Linked DNA regions of Alligator mississippiensis. The protein of the gene in region 1 interacts with the protein of each later gene in a pairwise test. Links are inferred from orthologs where the notes say so. Each region holds a gene or a part of one and is shown in the gene's direction. Other genes may lie near its edges.

What was found. The genes of interacting proteins can lie anywhere in the genome.
Region 2: the proteins of EGFR (region 1) and EPS8 interact in binary tests that used the Homo sapiens proteins (3 or more experiments, as listed by UniProt). The link is inferred for Alligator mississippiensis from reciprocal best matches to the Homo sapiens genes EGFR and EPS8.
Region 3: the proteins of EGFR (region 1) and PTPRA interact in binary tests that used the Homo sapiens proteins (3 or more experiments, as listed by UniProt). The link is inferred for Alligator mississippiensis from reciprocal best matches to the Homo sapiens genes EGFR and PTPRA.

Annotation. Positions count from the first base shown.
Region 1 is NC_081828.1:121,542,446-121,548,906, forward strand, and holds the start of EGFR (epidermal growth factor receptor), read left to right. Parts: upstream 1-2,655; 5' UTR 2,656-2,955; coding exon 2,956-3,070; intron 3,071-6,461. UniProt on the Homo sapiens protein: Receptor tyrosine kinase binding ligands of the EGF family and activating several signaling cascades to convert extracellular cues into appropriate cellular responses.
Region 2 is NC_081827.1:120,371,962-120,378,422, reverse strand, and holds the start of EPS8 (epidermal growth factor receptor kinase substrate 8), read left to right. Parts: upstream 1-1,973; 5' UTR 1,974-2,151; intron 2,152-6,461. UniProt on the Homo sapiens protein: Signaling adapter that controls various cellular protrusions by regulating actin cytoskeleton dynamics and architecture. Depending on its association with other signal transducers, can regulate different processes.
Region 3 is NC_081825.1:7,935,209-7,941,669, reverse strand, and holds the start of PTPRA (receptor-type tyrosine-protein phosphatase alpha), read left to right. Parts: upstream 1-2,295; 5' UTR 2,296-2,437; intron 2,438-6,461. UniProt on the Homo sapiens protein: Tyrosine protein phosphatase which is involved in integrin-mediated focal adhesion formation.

The DNA of each region.
Region 1 (6,461 bases):
CCAGGTAGTTAAATGGCCTCTCTACTACAATACTGAGAATCAATGACAGAATCGAGACCAAGAAGTAGGAATGTCTAGCTTCCAATTATATGCTTAGCTTGCAAGACCAGCCTTCCTTTCAACTGAAGTTGTCGTGGGACAAGACTCATACCCACCCACCCCCCAGCAAACAAAAAAATAACCCAAATGATTTAACTAAAAGTAGATTCCAGTGTAAACTGAATGGCATTTCTTAGTGGTGGAAAATAACAAATGTACTTGCTTGCCTTGCTGCTGTTTCTCCAGGGCTGGGTTTATTACTCATTTATTAAGTACTTAATAAAATGACAGGATTTGTACAACACATATTAATTATCAATGCAATGGTGTATAAACAACTGGTTACATATATGCCCAGTGCTAAGTGTATAGGGATGTCATTTAGTAGTTTAATTATATTGCTTTACTATTCTACTATTATATTTTATTTGCTATACAATAGATAGTAAATATTATGGATATCACAGTAACGCAGTATAAGCAAAGTACTAAATCTGTATAATTTATACACTATTTAATGTCTTGTCTGAGGAGGAAAATAGAAATAACAGACATGAGGCTTGATTCAAATTCCTTAGGGACATGACATTTTTACAGATTTTTTTTTTTTTAGGGGAAATTTTGATTTCTGTGAAAGGCAAAGGCCCCTATCCAGAAGACAAGTGGAAGCAGGAACATATATTTATACTATGGTAAAAAACTATTAGTCTGAAGTAAGGCCAGTGGCAAAGAGATTCTGAGTTTCCTGTGGAATAAGTGATGCACAGAAACAGTGGCATTTTTCTTAACTTTGTCCTCCTGTGTCACCAACTTTTTTAAGTAGTGGGGGTAAACGTACATGCAACGTGAGCAGGATCCATCCTGCAGAAGGCAGTGGCAAAACTCCAGTCCACTTGAGTGAGAGTAGGAGCTGGTACTGTGTCCTAATCTTTTAAATCATTAACTTCAGAAGGTAATTATTGACAAACTTGGCTTCTTCCCCCTGGGTCAGCTCCTTCTCCAAGCTTCTTAGCATTTTTTATTTCAACCTTTAGTAACACTCTATTTTGGAAGTGATGAAAACCAAGACTAATTTATCCTGTAGCTCCAATCACCCACAATTACCTTTTATCAGGTTTCTTCTCTCCCCCACCCCCTTTCTCTGATAAAGTTCTGGGCCAGCTGCTGCTATTCTCTCCTTGTAACCAGCATGATATAGCATTGCCTTTCTGCCAGCACACCTAGGCATGCACCTGAGGGAAGGGAAGGGAGTTTGATTTCCCTGGCACAAGTGGAAGGCAGGAGTCACTCCACTCAAGCCAAACTAGTTACCCATTCCCACTGGGGTTGCAGGTAGCCTCTGATATAGCCAGGGAAGGCACCAGCTCTGTGACTGGCTGAGTGAGGCAGTGGGGTCTGAGAGGTGGCTGGAATTTCACTGGTGGCTCTAGGCTGGTGATTCTCCATTGGAGGGAGAGATCCTCTCTACTGCTGTTGGGTGGGCAAACATAATTAGAAACCCAGAGGCTTCAATGATGAACCTGCAGGGCTAAACCTTGCCTGCCCTGTTGGGACCTGCTTGCCCTCTTTGCAACAGAAAAACAGTAGCAATAAGAGTAACATTGTATGCGTGACAGACCAGAAGTGATGTGAGGAGGCAAGGATTTCTGCAGGCGATCTGTTTTATTGGAGCAGCTATGGAGCTGGGATAGAATTAGACAAGATTTCAGACCTCCTTCCTGATCCTCCCCTATTCCTCCCCCTTTGATAGGCCTTGATCTCCCAGGACTTGGGTGCTTTTATCTGCTCAGTGTGTCTGCTAGACCTGCACATTTCCCCTCACCCCTCCTCTAGGATGCCTATATTCAAAGACCTAAGGAAGGTGGTCTTAAACTGGAAAGCTTCAGGGTTTGAATTACCGGGGGAGCTCCATGGCTGAGCCACCCCATAAGAGACAGAAGCCCCCCCACCCTGTAAGAGTTGAAAATCATAACTTGAGGGGAGGGTCTTCGTTTTTATTATAGCATCATGATAGGCACCCCAATTTTTTTTTTCCAGCCCCCTCCAAGAGTCAAAGTGTAATCCAGACCCTGGAAAGCTTGCCTCCCTTCATTCCGGGTGGGGGGGGGGGCAAGAAAAATATCCCCCTAGGAAATCCTGCCTAACAGGTTTGAAAGGGCACGAGGAAGCAGGGGAGGTCGCCAGAGCTGTGCTGTGAATTGGGACTGCCTTTGTGTCCCTAACCCCTATGGCTTTTCTATACAAATGTGGGAAGTCCCAATTGCAGCTGGTGCCTGTTTCTGGGAATGCAGGGTTGGCACCTCTCTTCCCCCTAGGAAGTCCTTCCTTTTGCAAGAGAACTGCTCTGTTTTCGGTCTGTGGTGGCTAAGGAAGAGCTTTTCTTGAGCGCGGGGTGGGGGCTCCAAGGGAGAGGCGCCTTGAGGGGCATGAGAGCCAGCTCCAGGCCCGGGCAAGCCGGGCCGCCTTCCGTCAGAGCTGGCCGGGAGAGGGCGCCGAGGCGCCCGGAACAGGGGGCAAAGCCCTGCTGCCCCCGAGGAGGAGCTTGTCCCCGGCTCCACCCCGCCAGGTGAGGCAGGCGGTGGGGGTGGCACCTGGCGGGGCAGCAGCGCCAGCGTCCCCGCCCCGCCGGCAGCAGGGGAAAGTTTTGGCGAGCGAGGCGGCCCGGGCGGAGCTCCCGGCGGAGGAAGACCGCAGCCACCCCCGGCCCGACCCAGCGCCCGCGTGGGGCCGGCGGCTGCGACCCGCAGCTCCCCCCTCTCCAGCCCAGCCCAGCAGCAGCGCCGCCTCCTCCCGAGTCCGTGCCCGCCCCCCTGCAGCATGGGCAGTGCAGTGGCGGCCGCCGGGAGCCCGGGCGCGCGGGGCTGAGAGCAGCAGCACCAGCCACGGGATTACAGCAGCAGCAGCGGCAGCGCCGGGATGCGGGACAGCAGGAGCCGCCGCCTGGGCGCAGGAGCCAGAGCCGGCCGGGCCGGGGCAGCCGCTATCCTGCTGCTGCTGCTCGGGCCGTGCTCCGCCGTGGAGGAGAAGAAAGGTGCGTGCAGCCCCCCAGCCGCGGGCTCCCCCCCTCGTGTGGCTCGAGGCCCCCCAGGCGGGACCCCCCATCCCTCGTTACGTTCTGTTCCCCCTGTGTTATCCTCGCTAAGTTCTGCCCCCTCTTGGAACGCTCGCTACGTTCTATTCCCCCCGCCCCGCGAACTCTCACTACGTTCTATCCCCCCCGCGGAATGCTCGCGGCGTTCTATTCCGAGCCCTTTTGGAACCCTCGCTACGTTCTGTTCCTTCCCCTCGGAACGCTCGCCGCGTTCTATATCCGCCTCTTGGAACCTTGGCTGAGTTCTGCTCCTGGCCGAGGGGCGAGCGCTACGCGCGCCGGCTGTCTTTATGAATGAGCCGCGCGTCTCTGGCGGGCTGTCAGCTGGGCGCGTGTGTGTGCGTGTCCCTGAGCGGGCCCGGGCGGTTGTGACAGGGGCTGAGGCTTCCATGGGGAACCGGTTGCAAGGCAGGAGGAGGGGGAAGAGTCCCTGGCTGGTCCGGCTGGCTCTTTTGTAAGAGCAGGCAGAGCAGCTTCGGTTCCAGGCAGAGGCGTCTTTATCTTGAACATCTGCCAAACACTTAAAAAAAAATAAAACTTTTTTTTTTTTTTTAAAGGAAAAAGCCGGGAAGGAGGGGGGAGGGGACACTTGTGGTTTTTATAAGGTCTGATGTGGGAGCTGGGCTCAAGGGGATCTGCATCTTGTGCCTGGCAAAACCATCGGGCAAAGGAGAACCCCACCTTTTTTGAAACTACTTACTAGTTGCCCTATTTGAATCCCTCAGGAGTGAGTTCATACCCGCTGTGGATATAACAAGGGCAGGTTATTTTCCCTCCTCCCCTCCTCCTCTCCCCCCTCTTTTTCCTTCCCCCTTTTCCCCCTTTTTCCTCCCTTCATTTTCCCCCCTCAACTTTTTTTTTTTAAATGAAGTAAGTGGTCTCTGCGCTGTGGCCCAGAGAAAACTCTTATCTGAGTTGCAGAGACTCTACCGGATATATATATCCCTATGGATAAACACTATAGCTTACATGCTGTTTAAAGCAAGCTTGCAAAAATCAGGTAGTAGTTGTCTTATGATTATAACGGGTTGGCAGTAAGGAAATGGGGACCAGCAGGATTTATTCTCAATGTGCTTGGTTTGGCAATAGCTCTTTGAGTCTGAAAGAGATCAAGACCTAACGTTGTTAAAAGGCAGTACTTCTTTTGGATGTCCTGTTGGCTCAGTTCATTTTTCACTGTAATGTACAGTCACTAAAGACTAGTAGGAAAGTGCTTGTTTGCGCTGCTGTTGAAGTAAATAATAAAACTACCATTGAAATTAGTAATGCAGGAATCCTGCCTTACTTGAGAATTGTAAAATAATAACTCCAAATGTTAATTCTAAGTTGTCAGAGGAAGGTTGAACCAATGTTCTTTAAGACTCCCAAACTTACCTCCTCAAAATCCTGTTGGCCTTTTGAACCCATGGACCCTGAAATGCAAAATGCAGTCGCATTGTCATGAACCTGCCCAGCAGTAGAAAATGATGAAGTGTTATAATAAACTTTTTTGGACATATGTTTTCAGTTGGAAATACTTGCAACTAAACCCATTAACAGTTTTATTTGAACATCACTACATACAAAGAGCTGATGTCTCAAAAAAGGATGCTAACACAATGTTTGTTAGAAAATTATTGAAAATGGACAAGACTTAAATTTGTTTTGATCACGGAGATCACTTTTAATAATAGTTTTTATCTTTTTCCAAAATGTTTGAAGAAAAAAACCCTTAAATATGGCCGGGGGAACAACGAAATACTTTGTGATGCTGCTGTGCTTTAAAAAACAAACAGGAATTGTGCACGTTCTGAAACCAAGCAAGATGTGGTTCTTGAAGGCTTTTATGGATTGATTAGGATTAGTCTGTAGCTTGCATACAATAGTATAAACTGAAATTATCACAATAAAATTCATTTGGTCTTTCCCTAATGCATGGATGAGATCAGAAGCTGCTGGGTGGCAATAGGAACAATATTTACTGTCTAGGGAAGCTGATCAATGGTAACTTGGAGTGTAACTGTTCAGTGGTAGCACAATTCAAATAAAGTGCTTTTCACTCTTGTATCATCAGTTTTGTGCTGGTAATTTTTATTTTCTGTTTTTGGCTATTCTACTGTGCACTGTAGCAGGGTGGATCTGACAAATCAAATCCATTTAAATCCTGATTTAAAACACAATTTAAATCATGCATCAGAAGTCTCGATTTAATCATTGTTTTCTACAAAAAGTGCATTCTTGTTGTTTGATATCCTTTATTAATTGAACTTCTTGAAACTTTGCACTTTTAGAGAAAGGTAAGGGCCTGACTGTGTGTGTACACACTTGCAGAGAGACAGAGGGCTGATGGGTAGGTAATCAGGTTTGTTATCTCTCATCTCCATATACTGCTGTTAACAAGGATGTTATCTCTGGAGACAACAAACTCAGTCTTATGCCTGAAGAAGGGCAGTTATGCCCAAAGGTTTGCAAAGAACAATTTTTCCAACTATTTAGTTGGTCTAATAAAAGATAGCACATCTGCCCAAAGAACCTTGTCTGCCTATGATCTTTGGAGAGACAAATCCATAGTTTGAGAACTGAAACTAAGCATCACAGAGATGCTTAACGGGATCGTCTAGACTAGAGGCTAGACTCTAGACTGAGCACTGAGTACCATTGGGTAGAATGGTTTTCTTTAATTTTTACTAATCTATATAGGAGCCACATGATTGGGCCCCTAATATAGTCCATGCCTGTTGTGACCTATATGTAAAACTTGTAAAAAGGTTACGTGAATATATTGTCTCAAATAGTGCATAATTAGAAGTTATAATCCCTATTCCATGATGATATCTTTGAACTTTAACGTATCTTAAAACTATCTTTATGTCAGTTTATTTTTTTAAAAGCATGTTAACAACAAGAATTTAAAAATATGATTACATTTAAAAAACTTTTATTTCAGATGTTTTATTTTTTAAATAAAATCATTGATTTTTAACCACCCTGCACCATACAGTAATGAGGAGCATCCCAACGTTGTACTTTGGGCACGTGCAAGGGGAAATGTTTGGTAGTCATGAATTGTAGAAGTCCTGTTTTGGTTTCCCATTGTATCCAGCATGTTGGAGTTCATTACCTTCTAGGTAATGTTTTAATTGCATTAGTTAGGAAGCTGAAATTGTTAAATTGGTGCAATCTTTTAGTGTGGATACAGTGATAGAGTTTACAGTGGTGTAGCTTGTTTTGGTCAAAAACTGTTTGGGGACCAGCCTTTACATGAGTGCCTTAAGTACAAATAAAACGTCTTATACTCATATTAGTATGCAATTCTGCGCTTTCAAGGTAAATTTCTGCTATACAAGGAGGG
Region 2 (6,461 bases), on another chromosome or scaffold:
TGTGACTATGCATAATTGCTTGCAGAGTCAGGAACCAGATGGAACCAATATACATATATTGTATACTAGAAGTCCACCGATACATCGGTCCAATATCAGAAAGTTGACTGTATCGGAAATTGGCTTTTTTTTTGCCTGATGTGGCCAATAATTTGGCTGATAAATGCCCTGTGCATGCATGCAGCAACAGTGTAGCACATAGGTGGGGAAGAGCATAGCTCAGCAGCATGGAGAGTTGTGTCCAGCTGGTAAGTCTATTGTGGTGGAAGGGAAAGGGGGAGGGAAGGGGCATGGGAGGGAAGATTGAGGCCCCTGTGGTGAGGGAAGGAGTGGGGCTGGGGCAGGTGCTGCCCAGCTGGGGTACGGCAGGGTGGGGAATGGGACATGGGATGGAGCTGCAGCTCATCTGAGGGGTGCCAGGGGACTGGCTCCTGCTGCTGCATGCACCCCAGGAGGGCATGGGGGAGTGTATGCCCCTGCATGTGTGCGGTATGGGGTGGGCTGCTGCGGGCTGGGGCCAGGGCTGGGCCAGGCTGCACTCAGGGTGGGCCAGGCAGTGGTGCTGGGAGGGGTGGTTTTTGAAGGGGCTACAGTGAATTTTGGGGTGGCTGCAGCCCCTCTGGTAACTCCCGTCCCAGCACCACAGCTGCCCACCCTGAGCGCAGCCTGGCCCAACTGCTCACTGGGAAGAGCTTGGCATAGCCCCAGCCCCAGCCCACAGTGGCAGCCTGCCCTTGCCCTGTACAGATCCAGGGGCACTCACCCCCCCCATGCCCTCCCAGGGTGTGTGCAGTGGTGGGAGCTGCCCCTGCAACCTCCAGACAAACCGCGGCTGTCCTATGTCCTGCCCCAGCCCCTCTCCCTCCCTCACCACAAGGGTCTCAAGGGCCCCCCATGCGCCTTCCCTGCCCCTGCCCCTTCCACCACAACAGACTTACCAGTCGGCCACTGCTCTTCAAGCTGCCAGGCTGCGTATCAGAAATTGGATTGGCATCAGCTGATATGCTGCCTTAAAAATTGGCTATTGGTATTGGTCCCCAAAATCTCTATTGGTGCACCCCTAATATATATATATATATATATATATATATATATATATATGTATATGTATATATATTTGTATGATTTAATAGCAGCCTTCAACTAACTACCTGAAGGGGGTTTAAAAGAGGATGGAGCTAGACTGTTCTCAGTGATGGCAGAAGACAGAACAAGAAGCAACAGTCTCAAGCTGCAGCAAGGGAGGTTTAAGTTGAATATTAGGAAAAGCTTTCTCAGGAGGAGGGTACTAAAACATTGGAACAGGTTACCCAGAGAGGTGGTGGAAGCTCCATCCTTGGAGGTTTTTAAGAACAGGTTAGACAAAGCTTTGGCTGGGAAGATCTAGTTGGGGATGGTCCTGCTTTGAGCTGGGGGTTGCACTAGAGACCTTCTGAAAATTCCAACCCTAGTGTCTATGATATCTCTATAGATCTCTCTCTCTCTATATATATCCATAGTTATTGACCCATCTATATCTAAATAAATATATATAGATCCATAGATCGATCTATATCTATAGATATATAGCTCTATATCTCTCGACATATAGATATTTATATACTTATATGAGACAATACACATGCATATATATTGTATATATGTATACCTACAAGTATGTAAGTAAATGTGTATATTCATGTGTGTGCGTGTATGTGCGCGCGTACAATATATGCATGAGTGTGTGCGCGTTTAGGTACGCATGCCCAGGTGTGTATGTACTGATGTGTGTGCGCGCGTGAGCATACATGTAACAGCCGTGAGACAAACTTCACTTGGCTTTTCCCAGCCCCTGCCTTCAGAGCGGACCAGTTTTGAAGGCAGCTTTAAAGTACCCGCTGTTTATCTCAGGGGGTCGGGGGTGGAGGGGTTTCCTGCCCTTCCTCCAAGCACAGCGCGTCTCGTCCCTTGCTACAACTCTCGCCCGCGGCCGCACGGAGCACGGCCCGGCCCCCGGCAGGCGGCGCAGCGGCAGAGGCGGAGGCGGCACTTTGGGAGCGGAGCTGCCCGCGCCGCCGGAACAAAGTGCAGCCGCCGCCGGGAGCTGGAGGCGGCCTCGGCTCTGGACCCGCTTGGCGTCGCCTTCCCCCGCGCCGGGGAGCCGCGGCCCAGGTAAGAGGCTGCGCAGCCCTCACCAGCCGGGAAGCGCGGAGGCTTCGTAACATGGCGAAGGGCAAGAGCCCTCGCTGCAAGCCGTGCGGCGGCAGCCCGCCGGGCGCAGGTCGCGGACCTGCCTGGTGCCCCGCTCCCGCCGCGGGGCTGGGGCCCCTCCCGCACGCCTTCCCCTTTGTGAGGGCGGCCCCTGGCCCTGGGCCTGCCCCTCTGCCCCTTCCTCAGCTCCCGCTGCGCCTGGGCTCCAAGCTCTGCCATTCCAGGACCCGCTGATCCTACAGTGGCTTGCACTGGGTGAGCCCCGAGCGGCTCCTTGCAGCCCCAGGGCTGTGCGAGTCCATGGCCCAAGTCTCTGATTCTCACCGGGGCGAGGGGGGAGCACCCCGAGGGGCCTCGAGGTCCTCCCCTGGGTGCTGAGGGGGCCTGAGATCCTCTCACAGGGGTCCGCGCGGTTTCAGCACCATCAGGTGGGCAAATACGATGCAGAGGATAAAAGGCAGCGATTTCAAAGGAGACTGTAGCGTCACAAGGACCCGTTGGGGTCCTTCTGAGTTTTTTGCCATAGAAACCCCCGGCGTTAGTTTTTCCATAGTCCAACCCCCCCCCCCCCCCCCAAACAAAAAACCAAAAAAACCCGAAACCAAACTCGGAGCTGACATGTTTGGAGGGGTGCCCTGAGCTTAAAAGGGCTGGGCAGTGCTTAGCCAAGAGCTCTTTATTTACATCTACTCCTTGCTTAGCATTGTAGTTAAGTTCTTGAAAATGCAACTTTAAGCAAATCCAATTACATCACAGTAGTTGCCTACTAGCAGCTGGCAGCCAAACAACATTATAACCGAACATTGCACGACTTTCAATGAGTATGTTCTCTAATAGATCAGTGACTTAATAACAAAACAACGTTAACCGAGATTACGTTAAGTGAAGAGTACCCATATTTATTTTTTTGGTCCCATCCAGGATGTAATGGGTTCCCAGGTGGATGAGGACTGGGCAGTTCTGGGTTGAGGTCGAGCACCAGAAAAGCAGCTCTGTAGTTTGAGATGAACCCTAGTTTGAAGCTGGCAGGCATGGAAATAAAACAGAAAAAAAGAAAGAGAAGAGAAAAGCTTTGCTTGAGAAGGCTATGGGTTTCCATACTTGTATGTTCCCTTAGTTGTAACATCAAGTTGGAATAAATTAAAGGCAGTGATTACATTTTGCTGGGAGCCATAAAACCATAGCGGCTGTGGTCAAATAAGAGATGTGCAGCTACTAGTGGAACTGACTCCATTTCATTTAGAAGGAAAACCTCTGGATGAGCTTAATGCTCTTTGCTTTCTCTGGTGAAACTTGTCTTCAGATGTATGATCTCACATCTGACCACATCTGAACGCTCACTCTCTTAAGTACTTCTCCTCTTGTTCTTGTGGTCCCCTTTCCCCTTTCCCATTACACAGATTTTTTTCTTTCCATTAGCAGTTGCACAACATCCTTATCTCAGCTACAAAAATTGCTTCAGTGTTCAACTAAAGTAGTATTAGCAGAATGCTTGGGTATTTAGCAGCTCGAAAACTAGGAAGTCTGTGCCATGTGTCACCCAGTCTGCTTCCATGGGACACCAGAAGAAATTCTCTACGGACAAGTGTTTAAGAATTGTTCCATCTGAAATGTTAGGTGTTCTTAACCGGCAATAGAGGAGTCCAAGGCTTTCGTTTGAAAGGCTTTCGTGACTCGAGGAAGGTTCATTACATCCTGTCTTGTCCATGGCGTTTTTGTATCAGTAAAGAATTTAGTTTTTTAGTCAAACCTGGTTATTGTCACGCTGGAGCAAATGGCCAGGTTTATTCTCTTTGTACAATGACTCTGTTGTAAGCTGGTAGTGAATAACTGTTCTTCACATGTTTGCATCATCAGCTCATGCAATGAGATGCTTAATTTAAAACTCCACTTAGGCAAACTCAGTTTTGGTTTTTGAACTGTATCACCACAATTGTCTTTGCATGTTTTCAGTTGTTCCATGATTCCTGAAAATCATTCTGTTGTATTGCATGTATAATATCAAATACAAATTGGTTTTGAATCTGTCTTCAAGATGCAGAGTCTCTTATTTTTTGTTATTTATAATCTACCTAGAGACCTCTGTAGATGCAATTAGGAAACAGAAAAACAGGGCTAGAAGGAGCCTCAAAAAATGTTGTTTAGACCACTAGTCATGGCAGGACTACCTATGTCTAAACCATTCTAGAAATAGTTTTATCTAAATTGCACTGAACTTCCCATGACAAAGATCTTACAAGCTCTCTAGGTAATCTATTCCAGAGCTTAGCCACCAGCGCAGTTAGGAAGTTCTTCTTAATAGCTGACCTAAATCTCCCTTGTTTCAATTTTAAGCCCTTAATTAAGAAGTTAATAAATATCCAACCAGAAAGAGGTTGTAATGATTGGTGAGTGTTAGGGAGGTTGTGCATAAATGATTATACAGCTGTTATAACACTCTTACTTTTTGATCGAATACACAGATTGGAAAAAAAAAAGTTTTCCATTTAATGTTTAACCTAATACTTTAAATATGATTTTTTTTCAATTGCACTCCAGATGTAAATGCCATATCACTCCTGTTAACTGTCATATTTTCTCATCTGCAAGTGAATGCTTATTAAAGCATAAACAATTGAAGTTAAATAACTAGTGCCCCAATGTCTAAAATAGTATTTAAAATATAAGAACTTCTTAACTACTGCAGTTGAGTGACAGAAAATTTAAAGGTCCATGCAGTACAGACTACATAGACAGAATCCTTGTTGGTTTTAATTTCAGTGATTACTAGTTGCTTCTGTTTCATAGTCCTTATCTCTGTTCCCTTATGGATGACTGAATGTTTGAAGAGGATTTCCTGCAAGAAGATGCTTGGGCCAGGTGAAGGGAAACTTTTGGCTCTTACTTCCCCAAGCTTTTTCTTTGGATGTAGCAGAAGCTCTTCTCTTGTACCTGAATACTGGTAACAAGGAAAAAAAGAAATGTAATGCTTTTGAGCTCTGGCCTTTAAAGTATGAGCAGTGTACAAGACTATCTTGATCCTCCTAATCAGATGCTTCCTGCATCTGTGTGGCTTGATTTCTTTTTTTTTCCTGGTGTGAATAGAATGTAACTTCTGTTTGTAGGTGGACACAAAGTTTTTCTATTTAAGAGCACCCAGTTCTTTCTCTTTTCCACTGGGTCTCAAAGCACATAAACATTGTAGCTCAGACTTATGTCCTAACTGGTTTAGGGATTAGACTGCCTTGAACAGTTTTTGTCAGGTCTGTATTTTTTTGTGGCATAGTTTTGTTTTTCACCTTGTTGCCTTGAGCCTTCATGTTTGAAGCTTTTGTTTTTTTCCTTCCCAGTGCCTAGTTAAATGGTAATTGTCACTTCAATGCCATATTTCTGCAGGAAAAATCTTGTACCCAGTGTAGTTTTGAGTAACTGATGTGTTTCTCATCCTCTGGACTTGTATACCTACTTAAATTAAGATACTCATTTTTGAAGCAAGTCAAGGGGATAATAAAAGTAGGCAGACAAGATTCTTTGAGTAGATATGACATCTTTTATTAGACCAAGTGAGTAGCTGGAAAAGAGTTCTTGGCAAGCTTTCGGGCCCAGTCACCCTTCTGACTGGGCCCGAAAGTTTGCCAAGAACTTTTTGCCAAATATTCACTTGGTCTACAAAAGATAGCATATCTACTCAAAGAACCTTGCCCTGCCTCTGTCCTTAGACCAACATGGCTACAACCAAAAACCCAGCATATATAAAACTAAACATTCTGGGGAAAAGTTTAACTTTTTTCATGGGGGGCAGTAGCCAGTGTTATGCACTGCCAGAAGCACCCTGGACCAGCCTCATTTAAGTTAGTTGGGGCTAGGTGGACATTTTAGGGGACCAGGTTGCCCCACATGTCCCCTCCCTCTGCCCATGAGCATTTATGCAGAGGTTTACAAGTCAGGCCACGATTTGCTAAACCCAAGGTAATCTGTTCTCTCAATGGTTACTTTGTACATTTGACAGCACTTTTATATAAAGTAATTTCCTTGTCCCGTGTGGCTTTAGTCATTTTCTTCTTTGCAGAAAAGACCTCAGAGATGATTCATGTGGGAGCAGAAAAACCTTTACATGTTTCCCTTATAATCCATTCCAGCTGTCCAAAGTGTGTTAGCAGAAGCTAATCAGTCTAAAACAAATTGAGACATTGGCAACTATTTAAGTTTTTGAGAAGACTCCTTCCATTTTGATCTGTACGTCTGATTCTGCAAATGTCAACACTCATGAGTACTGTCTTTACTCAGTTAAG
Region 3 (6,461 bases), on another chromosome or scaffold:
CGGAAGAGCCTACGGACAAGATGCCAACATCAGAAGGGAGACGAACCGTCGGATCCCCACGCTACCCTTTTAACGACGTGAAGTCGGTAGGAAAAGTAGGACTCAATGCCTTAATGGAGCAGCGCTGGATGTGCGTGCTGGATGAGCCGCGGGGGACGGGTCAAGACACCGTGACTTCAGGAGATGAGGGGCTGGGGCTTCACCTAGGCGCTTCTCACTGGAGGACGAGGCCTGATCTCTGGGAGGCACATGCAGAAGGCACAAAACCAGGCCAGTTCCCCCCGGTGCTTCCCGTTCGGACTGGGGGGCACCAAGGTACTCTGAGGGTGGGGGCCTGCAGGAGCCCGGGGCAGCAGCCCCCAGCAGGGTGCACCCACCCAGGGCTGGGAGCAAGGCCAGGAGGCGAAGAGGAGCCTGCCCCAGGCACTGCACACCCGGCGGGGGCCCAGCCAGTGCTGCCAGGTCTGAAATATGAAATCTTCTATTGGAAGCTCAAAATGCACACTGAAAACTGATTCAAATAACCATGCAAAGAAGTCTTCTTTTGATTTACTTTATACTTCTCACTATCACCTGCCAGCGAGTGAGTGCGAGCTGGGTCATCAAACGTGAAGCATTTCTTTATTTTGGAGGCAGGAGCCGTAGGGAAGTGCTGACAGCGAGCCCCGCACCTGGCTAAGACTCCCTGGGAGCCGCGCGGGTTTTGCTGCGCTGCATCAAGTAAGGATTGAAGACATTTCCAGCGATGTGTCTGGTGGCCGTGTTGGCCTGAGCCAAGAAAGAAATGCAAAACTCTACAACTCCTGGTTCAGAGATGATGCCTTTTATTAGACCAGCTCAGAAATCATCTGTTCATTTTCTTTTTTAATGAAAAACAATGGAAGATAAAATGATCTTTTAAATTGTTTTTAAAAATTAAGAAATAAAAGATAAAAATGATCTGTTAAAAAATTCAAAATTAAAAAATGTTTAAAACTTAAAGACAAAATTGTTTTATTTTTAAAATATAAAAATAAAGATAAAAATCATCCTTTTAAAAAATAAAAAATAAAGAAAAATTATATTTGAATGTTGTTTTTAAATTAAGAAAATAAAGATAATCTTTTTTAATTAAAAAAGATAATCTTATCTTTAATTAAAACATCATTTTTTAAATTATAATTTTTTAATGAATAAAAATTTAAAGAAAAAAATCTTTAAAAACTTAAAAGAAAAAATTAAAGATAAAATTATTTTTAATTTTTTAATAAATTAAGAAAATAAAGATAAAATTTTTAAAAATTAAAAATTAATGATTTTAAATTGAAGATACAATTATCTTTTTAAATTTTTGAAAAAATAAAAAAATTAAAGATGATTATTTAAAAAAAATAAAATGAAAAAATAAAGATAAAATTATCTTTTTAATTTTTTTAAATTAAGAAAAAGATAAAAACCATGTTTTTTAAAAAATGAAAAATTAAAGATTTTTAAAGTTAAAGATAAATTATCTTTTTAATAAAAAATGTAAAGATAATGATCTTTAAAAAATAAAATGAAAACAATTAAAGATAAAATGATATTTTTAATTTTTTAAATTAAGAAAATAGATAAAAATAATCTTTTTAAAAAATTAAAAATTATTTTTTTTAAATTCAAGATAATTTAAAAAAATTAAAATTTAAAGATAAACATTATCTTTACATTTTTTAAATATTAATTTTTTTTAAAAAAATTAAAAAATAAAGATTTTATTTATTCATGTATTTATTTATTTGCGATTTCTTGGTCCAAGAAGAGGTGTCAGCTCATGGTGTCAGGCTGTAACTCCGGCTGTGAAGCCGCGCCCGGCGCAGCAGCTGACCCGAGGCGAGGATTGTCTCTGCTGACAAACCAGGCCAGTTCTGCGTTCCCAAAATGAGGGTGCGCTCGCGCAGGAGAGCATTCGGTTACCGATGGCGGGTGGAAATGTTCGCAGACATACGGTAATTCCGGTGGCCTCGCCCACCGTGGCACAGGCCTGTCGGGGGGGGGAGGGCGTGAGCCGGCGCTGCCAATCCGCGCGGGCCTCTGAGAGAGCCAATCGGCGGGCGGCTCTTATCTTCCATCCGCTTTGATGGACGGGAAAGGGGCGCGGCTCCTCCCTCCCCGCGCCCCTGCTGAACGGCCGGCCCGGGCACGCCCCCCGCCCAACGGCTGCCCGGCCCCGCCCCCTGCCCCCGCCCAACGGCCGCCGTGGCCCCGCCCCCTGCCCCCGCCCGCCTGTCAGTCGCGCGCCGCGCGTGGAGCGGCACCATGGCGGGGAGCGCGCGGCACGGTCGCAGCCGCTGCTGACGGCGCCGAGCCCCGCGGCGTGGGGCGACGTCCCGGCAGGCCGGGGCCGGGCCGGGGCCGGGCTCCATGCTGTGGCGCCGAGGGCCGCTGCGGAGTGACGGCGGCGGGGGCAGCCCGCGGCGGGGTGAGTGCCAGCGCGAGCGCGGCCCGGCCTCTCCCACCGCAACTCACTCCCACCGCGATCATGGACGGGGTCGGGCCTGGAGGAGGGTGACCAGAGAGGAAGGGGGGAAGCTGCCCAGCTCCGTGTCCCCGGGTGGGCGCGCGCGGGGGTCTCCGCCTGCTCCCTGGAGGTCCCCGGTGGCTTTCGCATGCGACGTTCGGGGCAGCGTGGGTTGAGCCCAGCTCTGTCGCCGTTTCCGCCTCTCCCCGCTCTCCGATAGGAGAGGAAACGAAATCCTCGACTGTGAAAAACCAACTAAAAAGCCTCCGTAAATCCTCCGAGGCCGCTGCATGCCGTTGTTACGTGCAGCGCCTGGCGCGGGCTGAGCGGGACCCTCCCGTGGAGGGTTTGTAACTTAAATAGATGAGAGCGAAGCCGCGAGAGAGGAAGCGGTGCTATCCCTGTCGTGCAGATGTGGGCGCAGGGGTTAGGGCTGTGAGGTGTAACGAGCTTTTTGTGTGGCAGACCCTGAAACCCGCGCGGAGCGACATCGGTGCGGACCTGTGCTTTCCGCCTGCTCGCGCGCTGGTGAGGCCGCATCGGGAGCGCTGTGTTCGGGTTTGGGCCCCCCCGCTATGGAAAGGAGGTGGACAAGTTGGAGAGAGCCCAGTGGAGGGCAATGAAAATGGTTGCGGGGCTGGGGGACAGGACTGGTGAGGAGAGGCTGACGGAGCTGGGCTGATTTAGTCTGCAGATGAGAAGACCGAGGGGGATTGATAGCAGCCTTCACCTCCCTGCAGGGGGGCTGCAAAGAGAACAGAGCTGGACTGGTCTCAGTGGGGGCAGATGACAGGACAAGGAGCAATGGGCTCAAGCTGCAGCAAGGAAAGTTGAGGTTGGATATTAGGACAGACTATCATATGGAGGGTAGTGAAACGCTGGAACAGGCTACCCAGAGAAGTGGTGGCGTCTCCATCCTTGAAGGTGTTTAAGACCCGGTTAGGACACAGCCTTGGCTGGGATGATGTAGTTGGGGCTGGTCCTGCTTGGAGCAGGGGGTTGGACTAGATGTCACCTCCTGAGCTCCCTTCCAGCCCTCATTTTCTATGATTCAGTGATTTCAGTAGGATTGAGGGTTACAATCGTAGAAAGGTGGAGCTGGGCAGGACCTCAGGAGGTCATGTACTCCAGCTCCATGCTCAAGGAAGGACCAGCCTTGTCTGAACTGTTCCAGGCAAACACTTATCTAACCTGCTGTTAAAAACTTCCAATAAAGAACATTTCACAATTTTTTCTCTAGGCAGTCTATTCCAATACCCACCTGTCCCCACAGTTAGACAGCTCTTCCTAATATCCAACCTACATTTCCCTTGTTGCCATTTAAAACTACCTATTACTGCTTGTCCTGTTCCCTGCAGTCTATCGCTGCTCGCTTCATAGCCACACTTCAGGTATTTGAAGACTGTTACCAAATCACTCCTCAATCTTCTCTTTTCCAGACCAAATAATCCCAGTTCTTCCAGCCTTTCCCTATAAGCAGTGATTCCTAGACCTCTGATCATGTGTGCTGTTTTCTGCTAGACTCTCAAACTTCTCCACCTCTTTCTTCATGTACAGTGTCCAAAACTGGGTGCAGTAGTCCAGGTGAGGCCTCACCAATGCTGAATAGTACAGAAGAATTGCTTCCCTGCCTTGCAAGCAATACTCCTGTTCAGTGATTTGCGGGATCATTGAAGAGCTGGGAACAGACGCTAGACCTCCGGTGCCCCAGGATTGTGTCACAAGCACACAACTGTCTTTGTGTTCATGTAAATCCCTTTTCCTTAAGGGAGGATTTGCAGTTTTAAGCAGGGGCCCGGGATGCGGTATGCTTGAGTCATCTTTCTTTTTCTGCCAGTAACTTTTCCTGAACTTCTAAACAAGTTACTTCACTTCTTTGTGCCTCCATTTCTCCATCTGTGAAATGGTGATGATATATCTGTGCAGCTTCCAAGGCTTGATGTTATGTAAACTAATACTCCAAGCTGAATGTGCTGTGGGGGTAAAAAGGGCTGTTAGCAAGTAAACCACAATTTTTAATGGAATCAAAGAAAAGTAGGGCTGGAAGGGACCTCCAGAAGTCATCTAGTCCAACCTGCTGCTCAAGGCAGGATCATCCCTATCTAGACCATCCCATATAAGTGCTTGTCTAACCTAATCTTAGAGCGATGCACAAACAACCCTGTTGTACAACCACAAGGCATGTTGCTCCGAAACACTAAGAACACCTTATCCTGGCACAAGTAAAGCTGGTGGATGAGGGCACTGTTGCAGGGGTTATGTGAACACACTCACATTCTAGAGTTCCAAGGAAGAGGGCCATTTTTATTTAATCCCTCCTTCTCCCCCAAACCTGCACTCTACATGCCGTCAGCCTTACTGACAGGTGAAGAGCTAAAATTTTCTTTTTCTCCTCCCTTCTTCTGGGCACTGCACACAAATACAATGCCTACATAGACAAAGCACGTGGTATAGGAACCAAGTGGCTACACAATATAGAACGCAGTGTCTGCACTTGATGATTAATATTTCTTTATTGTTGCATAGCTAAAAACTCCCAGTCCTGTGTGAAGTAAGTATGTCACTTGATGCAAGTAAAATCTAACTCCTGCAGCTTGAGGGTGAGAGCCTCAGGTTGTGTAAATCCACTGTGGTTCCCATCAGCATGGGAACTGTGCTGACTTATGCCAGTGCTGGATCTGTCCATTAGACCCACTTCCTGAGAGGTACACATTTCCCATGCGAGTCAGTGCAGCTGTGCTAATGCTCAACAGCTAAGGATTGGCCCCTCTCTTTTAAGCATTTTTTCTCTTCCCCTCCCCATTACAAAATGTAGAACAGGGAGGGTAGACACGTACAGATAAGATACCATGGCTGTACCGCTGTGCGTGCACACATGAGAACGCATGTGTTGAACGCCCTTACGGGATGAATCGAACTCTTAAAGCAAGATTCTTCTCTCCCGTACTTTGATGGAAAACCCTCAGTTAAATGAAGATCTGCTTTTTTCTGATCTGGGTTGTCATCAAGGATGGAAAATATGACAGGAAGGAAGGGAGTCTTTTTTTTTCTCTCGCTAAATATGGAGCAACATTAAAATCTGGGTATAGCAGATATCAGTGGGAAAAAGAATTCCAGGTCATTTAAGTCTGGTTTCTATTTTAATCAGATGGTTAGGTGGATGGGGATGTGGGTGTATAAGGCGGGGTAGGAGGGAGGGAATTTTGTTCATCCTGTCTGCTGTAAACTTGCTAGCCTGCAGTTTCATGCTGGGAGACGCTGATCCTGCTGGGGGCCTTCAGAGTTTAATTTGGTGCAGCTCATAGTGCTCTTGCAGCATCTAAATAATTCAGTTAAGTTAAAATTAACCACACTGTCTGCCTTTCCCCCTCTCAGCTGATGGGACAGCTTGCCGGGAGCATTCTGAATGCGTGAAATTGTTTTCTGTTTGGTCAGGGACTTCTAGAAGACAGCATACAATGGGAGAGGTGGTAGCATGGAGATCAGCTAGAACCTGCAGGGTGTTGCTGCTACAGAACAATACGACAGATGTAAAGCAATGTTGTGTCTCCCCCCATGCAGAGAGAAGCTTCTCTTCTAGCGTTTGTGTTTGTTAGCCAAAATATATTGATTTAAAGTGATAAACTGTAGATTAACTGGAGCTGTTGTGGCCCCAGCTCTGTGCAGGGGATAGAAGGGGATTAGGAATTAAAGCTGCATGGCCAACAACCATTCCCATCCTTCATTTTAACTGCTTCAGTATGCTGTTAGCTGCAAATGTGCCTGCTTTATTGGACTTTGGAACAGGTAAATGAACAGCCATTGTCATATGCTTTTTCCCATCTCCTAAGCAGACTTCCCAGTGTCACTTGCATGTCTTCTTTGCATGGAGAACTCAATTCTTTCTGTTGAGCATCGGACTTTTTATCTCTGTATGTCCCCCCATAGTGAATGGGATACCAGTGCATTGAGAGAAAGGATCACGTTTTTCGAGGGCTGAGGGGAG